Rattus norvegicus: one gene and its partners. The protein of the gene in region 1 interacts with the protein of each later gene in a biochemical or structural test. Links are inferred from orthologs where the notes say so. Each region holds a gene or a part of one and is shown on either strand. Other genes may lie near its edges. The genes, in order: Pbx1, Pknox1 and Hoxb1.

Evidence for each region.
Region 2: the proteins of Pbx1 (region 1) and Pknox1 form a complex in vitro, tested with the Homo sapiens proteins (2 studies listed by BioGRID). The link is inferred for Rattus norvegicus from reciprocal best matches to the Homo sapiens genes PBX1 and PKNOX1.
Region 3: the proteins of Pbx1 (region 1) and Hoxb1 are reported together in a solved structure, tested with the Homo sapiens proteins (2 studies listed by BioGRID and IntAct, with this or other methods). The link is inferred for Rattus norvegicus from reciprocal best matches to the Homo sapiens genes PBX1 and HOXB1.

Annotation. Positions count from the first base shown.
Region 1 is NC_086031.1:82,900,969-82,904,614, reverse strand, and holds part of Pbx1 (pre-B-cell leukemia transcription factor 1), read left to right. Parts: intron 1-1,595; coding exon 1,596-1,840; intron 1,841-3,646. UniProt on the Homo sapiens protein: Transcription factor which binds the DNA sequence 5'-TGATTGAT-3' as part of a heterodimer with HOX proteins such as HOXA1, HOXA5, HOXB7 and HOXB8. Binds to the DNA sequence 5'-TGATTGAC-3' in complex with a nuclear factor which is not a class I HOX protein.
Region 2 is NC_086038.1:9,688,083-9,691,728, forward strand, and holds part of Pknox1 (homeobox protein PKNOX1), read left to right. Parts: coding exon 1-16; intron 17-1,293; coding exon 1,294-1,464; intron 1,465-3,646. UniProt on the Homo sapiens protein: Activates transcription in the presence of PBX1A and HOXA1.
Region 3 is NC_086028.1:81,826,384-81,830,745, forward strand, and holds Hoxb1 (homeo box B1), read left to right. Parts: upstream 1-1,531; 5' UTR 1,532-1,635; coding exon 1,636-2,200; intron 2,201-2,636; coding exon 2,637-2,965; 3' UTR 2,966-4,021; downstream 4,022-4,362. UniProt on the Homo sapiens protein: Sequence-specific transcription factor which is part of a developmental regulatory system that provides cells with specific positional identities on the anterior-posterior axis. Acts on the anterior body structures.

The DNA of each region.
Region 1 (3,646 bases):
TGAGGGGTGCTATCTGTTGTGAGCCAGGAACATGTGGGTACAGCCAGCAGTGATACTCACATCATTATGTTGAGTTCATTCCTACCTTCCCCACCACAGCCCCTGGAGGAGGGAGAGCTGCCTAGGAGACAGCTAGCTCTGGTCTGTCCTCTTCGTACCCTAAACAGCTCTTGACTCTCACAGTTCTTGCGCATCTACTAGGACCTAGATCTCCTCTCCTCCATCCTTGCCCTTCCCTCCTCTTCTGTTCTCAGAATTCTCTCCATTTTTTTTTTGTTATTGCTTTTGGTTTTTTGTTTGTTTGTTTTCCCAACACTGAAAATGGTCTTCTTGTTCTCTTTCAACAAAAACTTGGCGACTGATGACACAACTGGATTTAGTTGAGTGGTTTGTTTATCAGAAGGCAGGCTGTGTTCAGGAGGCACAGAAGCAACTCTCCTGTGAGCCATTCTGCAAACTCACTTCATCTCCTTCAGTTCAAGTCACCCCCACCCACAAAGTTGTGGTGCTTCCCTAAAACATAGCCTGGTTTTGATCTGAAACTTTGTTCTACCTGAACTCAGGGTTGGGCAAATCCATGAAAACAGCTTCTTACAAACACCACACCCTCACTTTGCACAGGACAGAAAGCTTACCACCCACCATAAATGGAGCTCTGTTTTCAAAAGCAGCATGTCCTATGCCAGGGTCGATTTGTCTTTGTATTTTTCTACACTACTCTCTATTCTTTCAGCCAGTCCAGGGAAAATCTCTCAAGATTTAATTCCATGGACTGGATTTACCTTGCTGAAGCTATTTCGGAAATGACAGCACAGGTTAATTCAATATTACAGTGAAAGTTAACAGAGTAAAAGCCACAAACAAAAATGTAAAGTAAGAGATGCTCTTTTTTTGTTTGTTTGTTTGTTTGTTTGAAACCTGGCTGTTTGAAGATTAAAGTAAAAAAAATCACATTTTGTTATAATTAATGTTTGCAGTCCTACATTGATGGTAGTAAAACGCATATAACGGGAATTTTGTCAGTTTTGTAATGTGCAGGTTAGCGGCATTAACTAAATTCACATGGTTGTGTTTTCGCTATCCATCTTGTTAGGAGGTGGGTAGAGACAAAGCCTCATATGGCCCAGGCTGGCACTCATGAGCAAACACACCTACACTCACACATGCACATGAACACAAATACACAATGATGACCTTGAACTCCTGGCCTTCCTGGGTTCACTAAGTGCTGGGATTATAGCTGTGACCCACAGTGTCTGACTTCCAGAAACTTCTTTCGTCTTCCCCAAGAGAACCCCCACATGTATCATACTAACTCTCCCTTGCCCCTTCTTCTGGTCTCAACCCCACTGTTCTCCTATCCTAGGTATCTCATATAAGTAGTTTCTTTGGAGCAAAGCAGGTATCTCCTTCCACATTCCCATCTTCTCAGTCGATGTCCTTCCTGTCCTCTGATCTCCACATACCATATGACACTTGATCTGGAAGCTGGCTTAACTGAGGGAAACAGTTGGATTCTTATAGTTTGTGTCTGGTAAATGATTTCCGAGTTGCCGCTGCTAATCCTTTCTTTTTCCCTTTGTCTTTCTCCGTAGTTTTGAGTATTCGGGGAGCCCAAGAAGAGGAGCCCACAGACCCCCAGCTCATGCGACTGGACAACATGCTGCTAGCAGAAGGGGTGGCGGGGCCTGAGAAGGGCGGAGGCTCGGCAGCGGCAGCGGCAGCAGCGGCAGCTTCTGGGGGTGCAGGTTCAGACAACTCAGTGGAGCATTCCGATTACAGAGCCAAACTCTCACAGATCAGACAAATCTACCACACAGAGCTGGAGAAGTATGAACAGGTAACCATACCCCTATAGACTGGGCACCATGGTGGTCATTGGCCAAGGAAGGGCAGAACAAACCGCAGCCTCACAGCCTATGAACATGTCTTGGTCAGCCTTTCCCATAGGTCAGGGCTTATCTTAGAACCTTGAGTCCCTTCAAGAGCCTGTTCTCAACTATTGAAAACCTAGGCCTTACATGGGACAAGATACTATAACCATGATGTTGCAAATGATGACTGAAAGAAATATGAGTGGCCAATGTAAGGAGTCTCCTGTGCTGGGAACTCTAGAACATCTGTAAACATAGAACATGCTTGGCTCTCCCTAGAGCACACAGACCATTGTCAGAATTGCAACCCAATTACAGGGATCGCTGGCTTCCTTCGGCCGATGCTTGCTGTTAAGTTGAAGAACATTACTCTTTTGAATGCTCAGAGAATTCCATGGGAAGGGACATTTGGACCTGACCTTTCCATGCTGGGGTCAGCTGAGCCAAACGTGCCTTCTTTTCTATGTGTGATATGTGGTGTGACATACAGTTCTCCACAGAGATAATAAGTCATCTCAAGAGCTATTCTAGAGCCACACCACCTTCAATTCCAGTCCTAGCATTTTTCTGATGGTGTCATATATGTGCATGCCGTACCCCAAAGATAGAAAACTGTAGATTCACAAAGGGTCATAGAAGTCCTTTGGAAAGACTAGGATTGCTTTAAGTCACAAAGTAGCATAAAGAAATGAGGTACCATATAATGCCAGAGCTCTCCCTGGTAGGGAAAGCCCACCTGTCCCCCATAGACTGGGACTTCTATATCAGTGCCATTACTCCAGCCATTGTGAACCGCAGTGCTCTGTCAGGTGTCCTTTAACACCCAGATCTCCTGTTTCTTTAACCGACAAATATATTCATTGTCCCTGTTGGATTTGATGCTGAACTCCAGCTCTATATGAATGTCTTTCCTTGAATTAGATTTTCTTTTACCATTTTTTTGTGGGCCAAAAAGGAAGAGGGGGGCAGAGAACAGTCTACTTATGATTGCCTAGTTAGCCAGCAAATGTGAACGTAATAGAAAATTTAAATTTTAAAACAGAAATGGGCATTTTAAAATTTAAAGTGGAGAAAGGTTCATGAGCGCACCCCTGTCCACCTTTGGAGTGGAAACCCACAAAATCCACTCTCTTACACAGGAGGAGATGCTATGCCTCCTTAAGTTAGTCACAGTGAAAATTCAACCACCAGACAAGGTGCAGTGGGAGCTGAAGGGGAGAAAAAAATAAGTCAGCATGTTTGGAACTATGAGAACACTACCCTATGTGTTCTTGAAAAAGAACACGTGTTCTTGACACATCTTGGCTCCCAGAGACTTTTCTCAGGTCCCAGGAGAGTCTGGGATGAGTTGGTCTACCTGCTAATGGTGCTTTTCTCCACCTGGGTCATCCCGAACCTGGACTCTGCACTAACTCGGTGGGACTTTAGAAGATGCACGTGCAGACTTTTCTTATAAAGATCTCCAGATGGCTTCTCAGTTTATCCCCTCCATACTACTCTTACTTCACCTTCTCCAGGAAGCGTGGCCTCTTCCCATCAACCTGCCTAGACCTGACACCTCAGGTAACTCATGCCAGTTAATCAAGGCATGAAAGAAACGTAGAATAAACGCAGCTTCCTCCAATCGCGCAACTGCGATGCGTGTTAGGCTTGAGGGTTTTGATGGATGGCTTCATTGTTAGCTTGGGATGTATACAGCACAGAACTGATTTCTCCATTGAAACTCCGTTCTCTCTTTCCTGTTGCCATGCAAAATTCCACCGCTCAGGCAG
Region 2 (3,646 bases), on another chromosome or scaffold:
GGAAACAGACAACTTAGTGAGTAAAGTTGGTGTTTTGTTTCTACTTTTTGTGATTTAAATCTGTTCTTGAAGTTTACCTTCCTGGTCTCCTGGTTTCTAGCTAATTTTCCCTTTAACAATCTAACTAATTGTGCCTCCTCGTGAGGTGGGGCTCACCTCCTCGTGAGGTGGGTGTCTGAAGATTCCTTGGGGCCGACTGCTCCCACAGGGGGCGGGGGGAGTCTGCTCCACTTGAGCCGTGAGTACAGGTCTAATCTTAGAAACAGGCTTGAGTCGTCATCTGCAAAGCAGCTCCCTCCCAACACTGACACTAGTTGCTCTGCCTTCTTCCTGTCCAGCGCAGTGGAGAGAGGTCTTTGAGGACACAGCGTCCTTCTTCAAGGCACCTACACTGCCTGCCTTTGAGCCTGAGCCTCTGCCAGACTCAGATACCCCACAGCAAGGCCTTCTCTGGGTTTTGTGAATTCCCTGTGGGACTCAGGACTCAGTGGGTCTTTGGAAGCGTTATTGTCTGTGGATAAAGTGTGTCAGTGTTAGGTCTGATGCTTTACATTTCTTACTTGATCTTTACCACCTGAGAGGCTTCCGAGGTGGGCCGTGTCAGACTCTGCCTCGTGTGCTCTGAAATGCCTGTCATTTGAGCAAGAATCAGAAGAGCTTTTGGTTCTGGCCCATCCCTGGCCTGGCTCAGTCGGTGTTTTGACTGGCAGCACCATCTAAGCCCAGTTCACACTCCATAGCTTTTGCTTCTGACCGGTCTCTCACTGCATCAAGAATGTAGATGACTTCATACATGAGCCTGTGGCTGAGGGGCTGGCCTGTGCTCCCAGCAAGGAGTACCAATGACAGGGCACTGTTGGCATTTGTGACCCATTGCTTGGGAGCAAGTCTCCTCGGTGCTTGATGACATCATATTAAACAGGAGAGAAATAACACAAGAGGTTGGGATCTAGAGCTATGCAGAGTTCTCAGACTTGACACCAGACACATGATCCAGAAAGGGCAGAGCTGGAGGTTGGCCTTTGAGAGCCACCTACAGGACAGATGAAGATGTGGAGATGGAGTAGGGCGAGGCTGCAGCACAGCCATGCTGAAAGGGGCACCCTGCTCTGCGTGCGGCCCAGGTGCAGCCCGAGTAGGGCAGAGGCCAGGACACAACGCTGCTCCTCTCCTCTCGCTAGCACTGCCGCTGTCTCCATCTAATAAGTAAGCAGTGTATGACGATGGCAGCTTCTCATACAGACGATGGCACACTGTTTCCCACTTCAAAGTCTGTATTTTCCCTACCTCTAGATGGTGAAAGCAATCCAGGTCCTGCGTATTCATCTTCTTGAACTGGAGAAGGTGAACGAGCTCTGTAAAGACTTCTGTAGTCGGTACATTGCCTGTCTGAAGACAAAAATGAACAGCGAGACCCTGCTGAGTGGGGAGCCTGGAAGTCCGTACTCCCCAGTGCAGTCCCAGGTACTTTGGGGCCCAGTGTGCTTCTTGGTCATTGTGGTATTGGTCACTTGGCGTTAACTCCCGACCTCCTGCTCCTACACAATCGCTGGCTTCCGTGATGACGTAAGACCCTTACCTTGTTGTCGTCACTGTAGCCATTTCAGGGAATGTAGTCAGGGTACCAAGTGCATCCTCACTGTTGTGTAACCATCGCCACCACTGTAACTCCAGGACTCTCCCGTCTTCCCAGGGGAAGTCCTCTCTCATTAGATACAACTCCTCCTGCTCTCCATGGCCCTGCCATTCTCTTTCTCATCTCTGAATTGACTAGCTGGGTTCCTCACAGAAGTAGACTCATACAGTATCTGGCAAACTTCTCAGAGCTCCCTGAAGCCTAGTCAGGGATGAGGCACCACTGTGGTATGTGCTGTTTCGTCATGAACTTTGTTTGTTTATCCCTGACAGCAAATGGTATTTTCACGTGCTGATCTGCCGTCTGTGTGACGTCTTTGCTAAAAGACGGCTTACGTCTTTGCTCATTTTGTAAACTTTTATTTCCCTTAAATTTCTGAGTTTTGAACGTTCTAATTGTCTGCCAGTGTTTATCTGCTTTGACGCCTGCTGCTAGGAGCTCTCCTGCTGGACTGCTTTTCCTTCCTGTTTGTCAAAAGCCGGGTGGGTGTTTGATGTTCTGTACCATGAGGCCGGCCGTGATTATTACAGCTCTTGGCGAGTCTCGGGCATCGGAGAGATGGTCTCCTCCCTCTACATTTTCCTTGGAACTGTTTTCGCTCTCTTCCGGTGGCTTTGCTCTCCCATATAAACGGTCAGTGCTGCTGTGTAGACCTATAGAACAAATGCCCCGTGGGCACTGACAGAATGCACTGACCCTGTGCCTCGGTTAGGGGAGCTGACTTCTTTACTCTGTGACTCTTCAGTCCAGAAACACGGCACACGGCTGCATCACCGGGGCCTTTTCATCAGTGCTTTGTAGCTCAGCACAGTGACCCCTGAGCTTTCGGAAGTACACACGAGGAGCTGGGTGTAGTGGCACCCCTAGCGCCAGCACGAGGGAGACAGAGGCGGGCAGATCTCGGTGAGTTTGAGGCTAGCCTGGTCTTCCTATAAGTCCTAGAGCAGGCAGAGCTACACACGCTGAGACTCCGACTTAGTGCACAGGGGTGTTTCTCTGAGTGACTGTACATGGGTTGTGTTTGTAAAGATTCACTTGTTTTTAGATGTGTGGGTGTAGCCTACATGAATACCTACCTTGTCTGGATTCTGAGGAGGACAGAGGAAGGTGTCAGGCTCCCTGGAACCACCGTGAGGGAGCTGCCATGTAGTTCTGGGAACCAAATCCTGCTTCCTGGAACCGCCCTGTGTGCCCTTATCTCCTGAGCCGCCCCTGCAGCCCGGGATGGCAGTTTTAGGTTTTTGTTTTCTGAAGAAAAGCAGTTAAGTTTTGGTTTGGTTTTCTTTTTGTTTTTTTGAGGCATGGGTTCTTTGTGTAGCCCAGGCTGCCTTAGAACTCTGTATCTTGGGCTGGAGGGACTTATCTTAGCTCAGAGGTTAAGAGCACTGACTGCTCTTCCAGAGGTCCTGAGTTCAATTCTCAGCAACCACATGGTGGCTCACAACCATCTGTAATGGGATCTGATGCCCTCTTCTGGTGTGTCTGAAGACAGCTACAGTGTACTTATACATAATAAATAAATCTTAAAAAAAAGAACTCTGTATCTCTGTACACCAGGCTGGCCTCAAACTCATAGAGATGTGCCTGCCTCTGCCTTCCAAGTGCTGGAATTAAAGCTGCACGTCACCATATGGCTTCTTTCTTCTTTCTTCTTTCTTTTTTTAGGGTGGGGCTAGTTTTTAAAGTGCCCTAGGAAGATTCATAAGAAAACCATACAAAGCATATAAGCCTGTGTGTTTCTGTAAGCAGGTGTCGGTTGTAGAAAGTAGTGGATTTCATTTTTTTAAAGAAAGATTTGTTTATTTACTTATGCATATGAGTACACTGCAGCTGTCTTCAGACACACCAGAAGAGGGCATCAGATCCCATTACAGATGGTTGTAGCCACCATGTGGTTGTTGGGATTTGAACTCAGGACCTCTGGAAGAGCAGTCAGTGCTCTTAACCGCTGAGCCATCTCTCCAGCCCCCATGGATTTTATTTTGACATTCCACACATGTGTATGCGATG
Region 3 (4,362 bases), on another chromosome or scaffold:
CTCTTGCCCTCCTGGACTTGCCCTAGCTCAGGCCCCAGGCCTGTGGCCGGGCAGACACCCTGACAAGTTACAAATGAGAGTGGGTGTTGGATTCTTGTCCTCAGAGTCTGGAGGAGGAGACATCAATGAGCCCTACCCAAGAGCTTCTCTTCTAACTCCAAACTGCCTGCTGCATTTCAGAGAGTGACCAAGGCTCTTCCTGTGTCCCCTCCCCTAACCTGATCCCAAGAGCAAGAAGGTAAATTTCACCTCTAAGCCTTAGTTTAGAAGCTCTACACCGATTCTCCCATTCTCTGAGCAAACTAAACTTCCTTTACCTATTCTAGAACACTAGAAAATTCGGAAATGGAAAATTCAGATCGTCTTCAAGACTTAACTGGCATTGGATTTATGTATTTGAGTCCTGGAATTAAAAAAAAAAACTTTTAGGGAGACTAAAGATAACGGAGGGGTTTAGGGAGGAGGAAGCCTGAGAAATGCAGAGTCTTTACTAGTTTTGAACACTTGTGAGAAGAGGATTAAAATTCCCTTCCTTCTCACCCCTCTGTAAATATCACCTGGTTCTGCTGCTCATTGCTGCTCTCCGGAGAGAGACAGGGAGTTATTTAAGTCTGAGTGAGTGAGCCAGTTACAGCTATGGATGGCTAGAGAAAGGATAAATACATCTAGAGAGATGAGTTGATGGATAGGTAGGGAGTGAATATAAATGTGGAGCGAGATGGACGAACGGAGAGATGAATTGAGACAGAGGGGATATAAAGGGAGGCTGAGGGAGAGAAGTGGCTTGCGAATGAGGGGAGAGCATTTATGCAGAGAGATGGAGAGAACAGGGCGTCCCTCATCTTCCCTCCCCATTCCCTTTTCCCTCTCGTGTTCCTTGAAATGCTGCTTTTCCCTCCTCTTGATTTGTAATGAATTCTTCTGGATTTGAGACCCTGGCTCACACCCTGAGGTGTTTTTACAGCCCTTCTCCCTTCCTAGTCATCCTTTTGTCCCAAGATAACATACCTCATCAGGCTGTCCTAGCACATCATCCCAAGACAAACTGGGAGAAAGAGACATGGAATGGGGGTTCTGGGCAAAGTAGGGAGTCTGGCTCTCCAAGCACTAGCCTTACAGCCTTGGGGTGGGGGTAGGCTTCTTTGAGGGGAGAAGAGAGTGAGGGGCAGCTGGGTTGAATTTGGCCAAATCTAATAATCCAGGAACCTATTGAAGGCCTTGGGGGTTGGGAGGGGAGTAAAGTCTTGAATATTCTTCCAACTTCTCCCCCCCCCCCCACCTCTCCCTCTGGTCCCTTCTTTCCAAAAAGTCTTTGAAGAAAGATGTTTTTGACGCTTCCATGTCGCTCTCAGATGGATGGGCTCAGAGTGATTGAAGTGTCTTTGTCATGCTAATGCTTGGGGGGTGATGGATGGGCGCTGGAGCTGCCAAACTCTGGCCCGCTTAGCCCATTGGCCTGGGAGAGATCACATGTGCCCCCCCACCCCCACTGCCTAGTCCCTTCCTAGGGGATCGCTAGCGGGGACAAGCAGGCCCGGGCCATGGACTCAAGCTTCAGCGCTGTGACATACTGCCGAAAGGTTGTAGGGCAAGAGGGTGTCTCCCCCAAACGGCCCGACCCTCCTTCGGCCTCTAATGGACTATAATAGAATGAATTCCTTTTTAGAGTACCCACTTTGCAATCGGGGACCCAGCGCCTACAGCGCCCCAACCTCTTTTCCCCCCAGCTCAGCTCCGGCGGTTGACAGCTACGCAGGGGAGAGCCGCTATGGTGGAGGGCTGCCCAGCTCAGCGCTCCAACAAAACTCGGGGTATCCTGTCCAGCAGCCGCCTTCATCCCTGGGGGTGTCCTTTCCCAGCTCCGCTCCCTCGGGGTACGCCCCAGCCGCCTGCAACCCCAGCTATGGGCCTTCTCAGTATTATTCTATGGGTCAGTCGGAAGGAGATGGAGGCTATTTTCATCCGTCGAGCTACGGAGCCCAGCTAGGGGGTTTGCCCGACAGCTATGGAGCGGGTGGAGTCGGCTCAGGGCCATATCCTCCACCGCAACCCCCTTACGGAACTGAGCAGACCTCAAACTTTGCATCAGCCTACGATCTCCTCTCTGAGGACAAGGAATCATCTTGCTCGTCAGAACCCAGCTCTCTCACTGCCCGGACCTTCGACTGGATGAAGGTCAAGAGAAACCCACCTAAGACAGGTAGGGCTCAGAGGAGTGACTTCCTCTCCTTGGCTCAGGCATACATACACAGAGGGGCCTGAGCCCGGGCTTCATTCATTCTTTCAGCTGCTTTTATTGGTAGGTAAGTACTTTCTGGGCTCAGGTCAGCAGAGATTTCGAGGCTACTTCCTTCCTAAGGAGGTCTCCGTAGTCTTGTGTGCGCGCCCACTTTGGAGCCAGTATTTCATGTTTCTGGTCTGAAGGTGAGTATGGGCGGGAAGATGATGGTTCTAGATCTCCTAGATGATGGAGGGTGTGTGTGTGTGTGTGAGAGAGAGAGAGAGAGAGAGATGCCACATAGGGACTGCATTGGGTAGAATGATGAATGAGGGCCCAGAGTGGACTGGGAGGAGTGGAGGGGAGGGAGAAAGAGGTGAGAGGACTGACGTGGCTTTTCTCCCTGCCCCGCCCCTAGCAAAGGTGTCCGAGCTGGGACTGGGCACTCCCGGCGGTCTCCGTACAAACTTCACCACACGCCAGCTGACGGAGCTGGAGAAAGAATTCCATTTCAACAAATACCTGAGCCGCGCCCGGAGGGTGGAGATCGCCGCTACCCTGGAGCTCAATGAAACGCAGGTGAAGATCTGGTTCCAGAACCGGCGCATGAAGCAAAAGAAACGCGAGCGAGAGGGGGGCAGGGTGCCTGCAGGCCCTCCAGGTTGCCCCAAGGAAGCGGCTGGAGAGGCCTCCGACCAGTCTGCGTGCACCTCCCCAGAAGCTTCGCCCAGTTCCATCACCTCTTAAATTGAACTTCCTAAGTAACCCGGCTTCACACACTGGACCCAGTCCTCTCCTAGACTCTCCCAACCTTCACAGCCCTGGTGACCCTCCTCAAGGCCGAGGAACAAGTTTAGGAAACTGGGCAGAAGTGGGGAAATCAATTTTTTTCCCCTTCAGATCTAGAAGTGGAGGGATGATTGATGGCTGGGGCGATCCTACAGGTCTTGGGACCTGGGGAGCACTCAAACCATCAGAGGTCGAAGGAAGGTCTTTTGGCTTTGATCTGGAGATTGCCTCAACACATCAGAGTAGGAGTCAGCCCGACCTTCTGGCTTCTCCTTTCCCGTCCAATTCGAGTTCAGTGCCTTTGAGCTTGGAGAGTTCTTCTTTAGCTTCTTACCCCAACTCCTCTTCCTAGGCCCGGGATAGAAAGAGCCCTTGGGATTTTCCAGTGGAGGATGTGTTAGTGTGTAAACACATCGCCACCAACCCTTAACTGTAATCCTTAATCCAGCCAACACACCGCAGACCTTACAATAGCACCGACTGCCTTGTGACATGCCAAAAAAAAAAAAAAAAAAAAAACAAAAAAAAAAAACAAACCCCTCTAGTCCCAAGTAATCCCACAAGCCCTTTCCAGACATATTCCTATTGCACTAATGTGGCCCTCAGTGGCTGGCTCAGGAGATCCGCCCCTTCCCACAGGCATCACTAAATCACCAAAGTGTTTTGGAACTTGGCACCACAGAGATTTCCGGAGCATCATCCTAAGGACTGCCTCCAGCAAGCCTCAACCACGAAGGGGCGAATACCCCTCCCCTCTCCCTATTTATTACCTCCGGAAAAGCGCCCCCCCCCCCCGCGCGCCCCATTCTCCTTTCCATAAAACCACCCTACTCCTGGGGCTGTCTGGGGAGGTCCAGGAATGGCGACAGAATTCCCAGCAGCTTCGGACATTTCTCTGAACCTTGGAGACAGCAGAGAGGCCACTTGAGTTTCTGGAAACCCAAGCTCCAAGCAAGCCAGGTTCTCTTTGTATCTGTGACTACCTCATTGCAATAAAGTCTGTCCTCTCCCCCTTTTCTTTCTGCGTTTGCTTCTCCGTCTTGGGGTGGAGGAAGAGCTATGAACTCTACTTGGCCATTGACTGAGTTGGAAAGGCATTGCCGGGTTCCAGCCAAGGTAGAAGAGGATCCCCAGATCCCTAGTAATCCACTGGTCTTTTTCAGAGAACTCAGAAACACATGATAGAAAATGGGGGAACCAGATGGTTCTGAGATGATCTTGAGGAAAGGGGTGGAAGAAAGGGAAAACATATCTGTTTGATGTCTGTGAAGGGAATTATGGGGGAATGGCAGAGGGGACTCTACCTGCTTCCTTTCCCTCTATCTCGCCCCAGTTCCCCCCAGAAACTAAAGAGA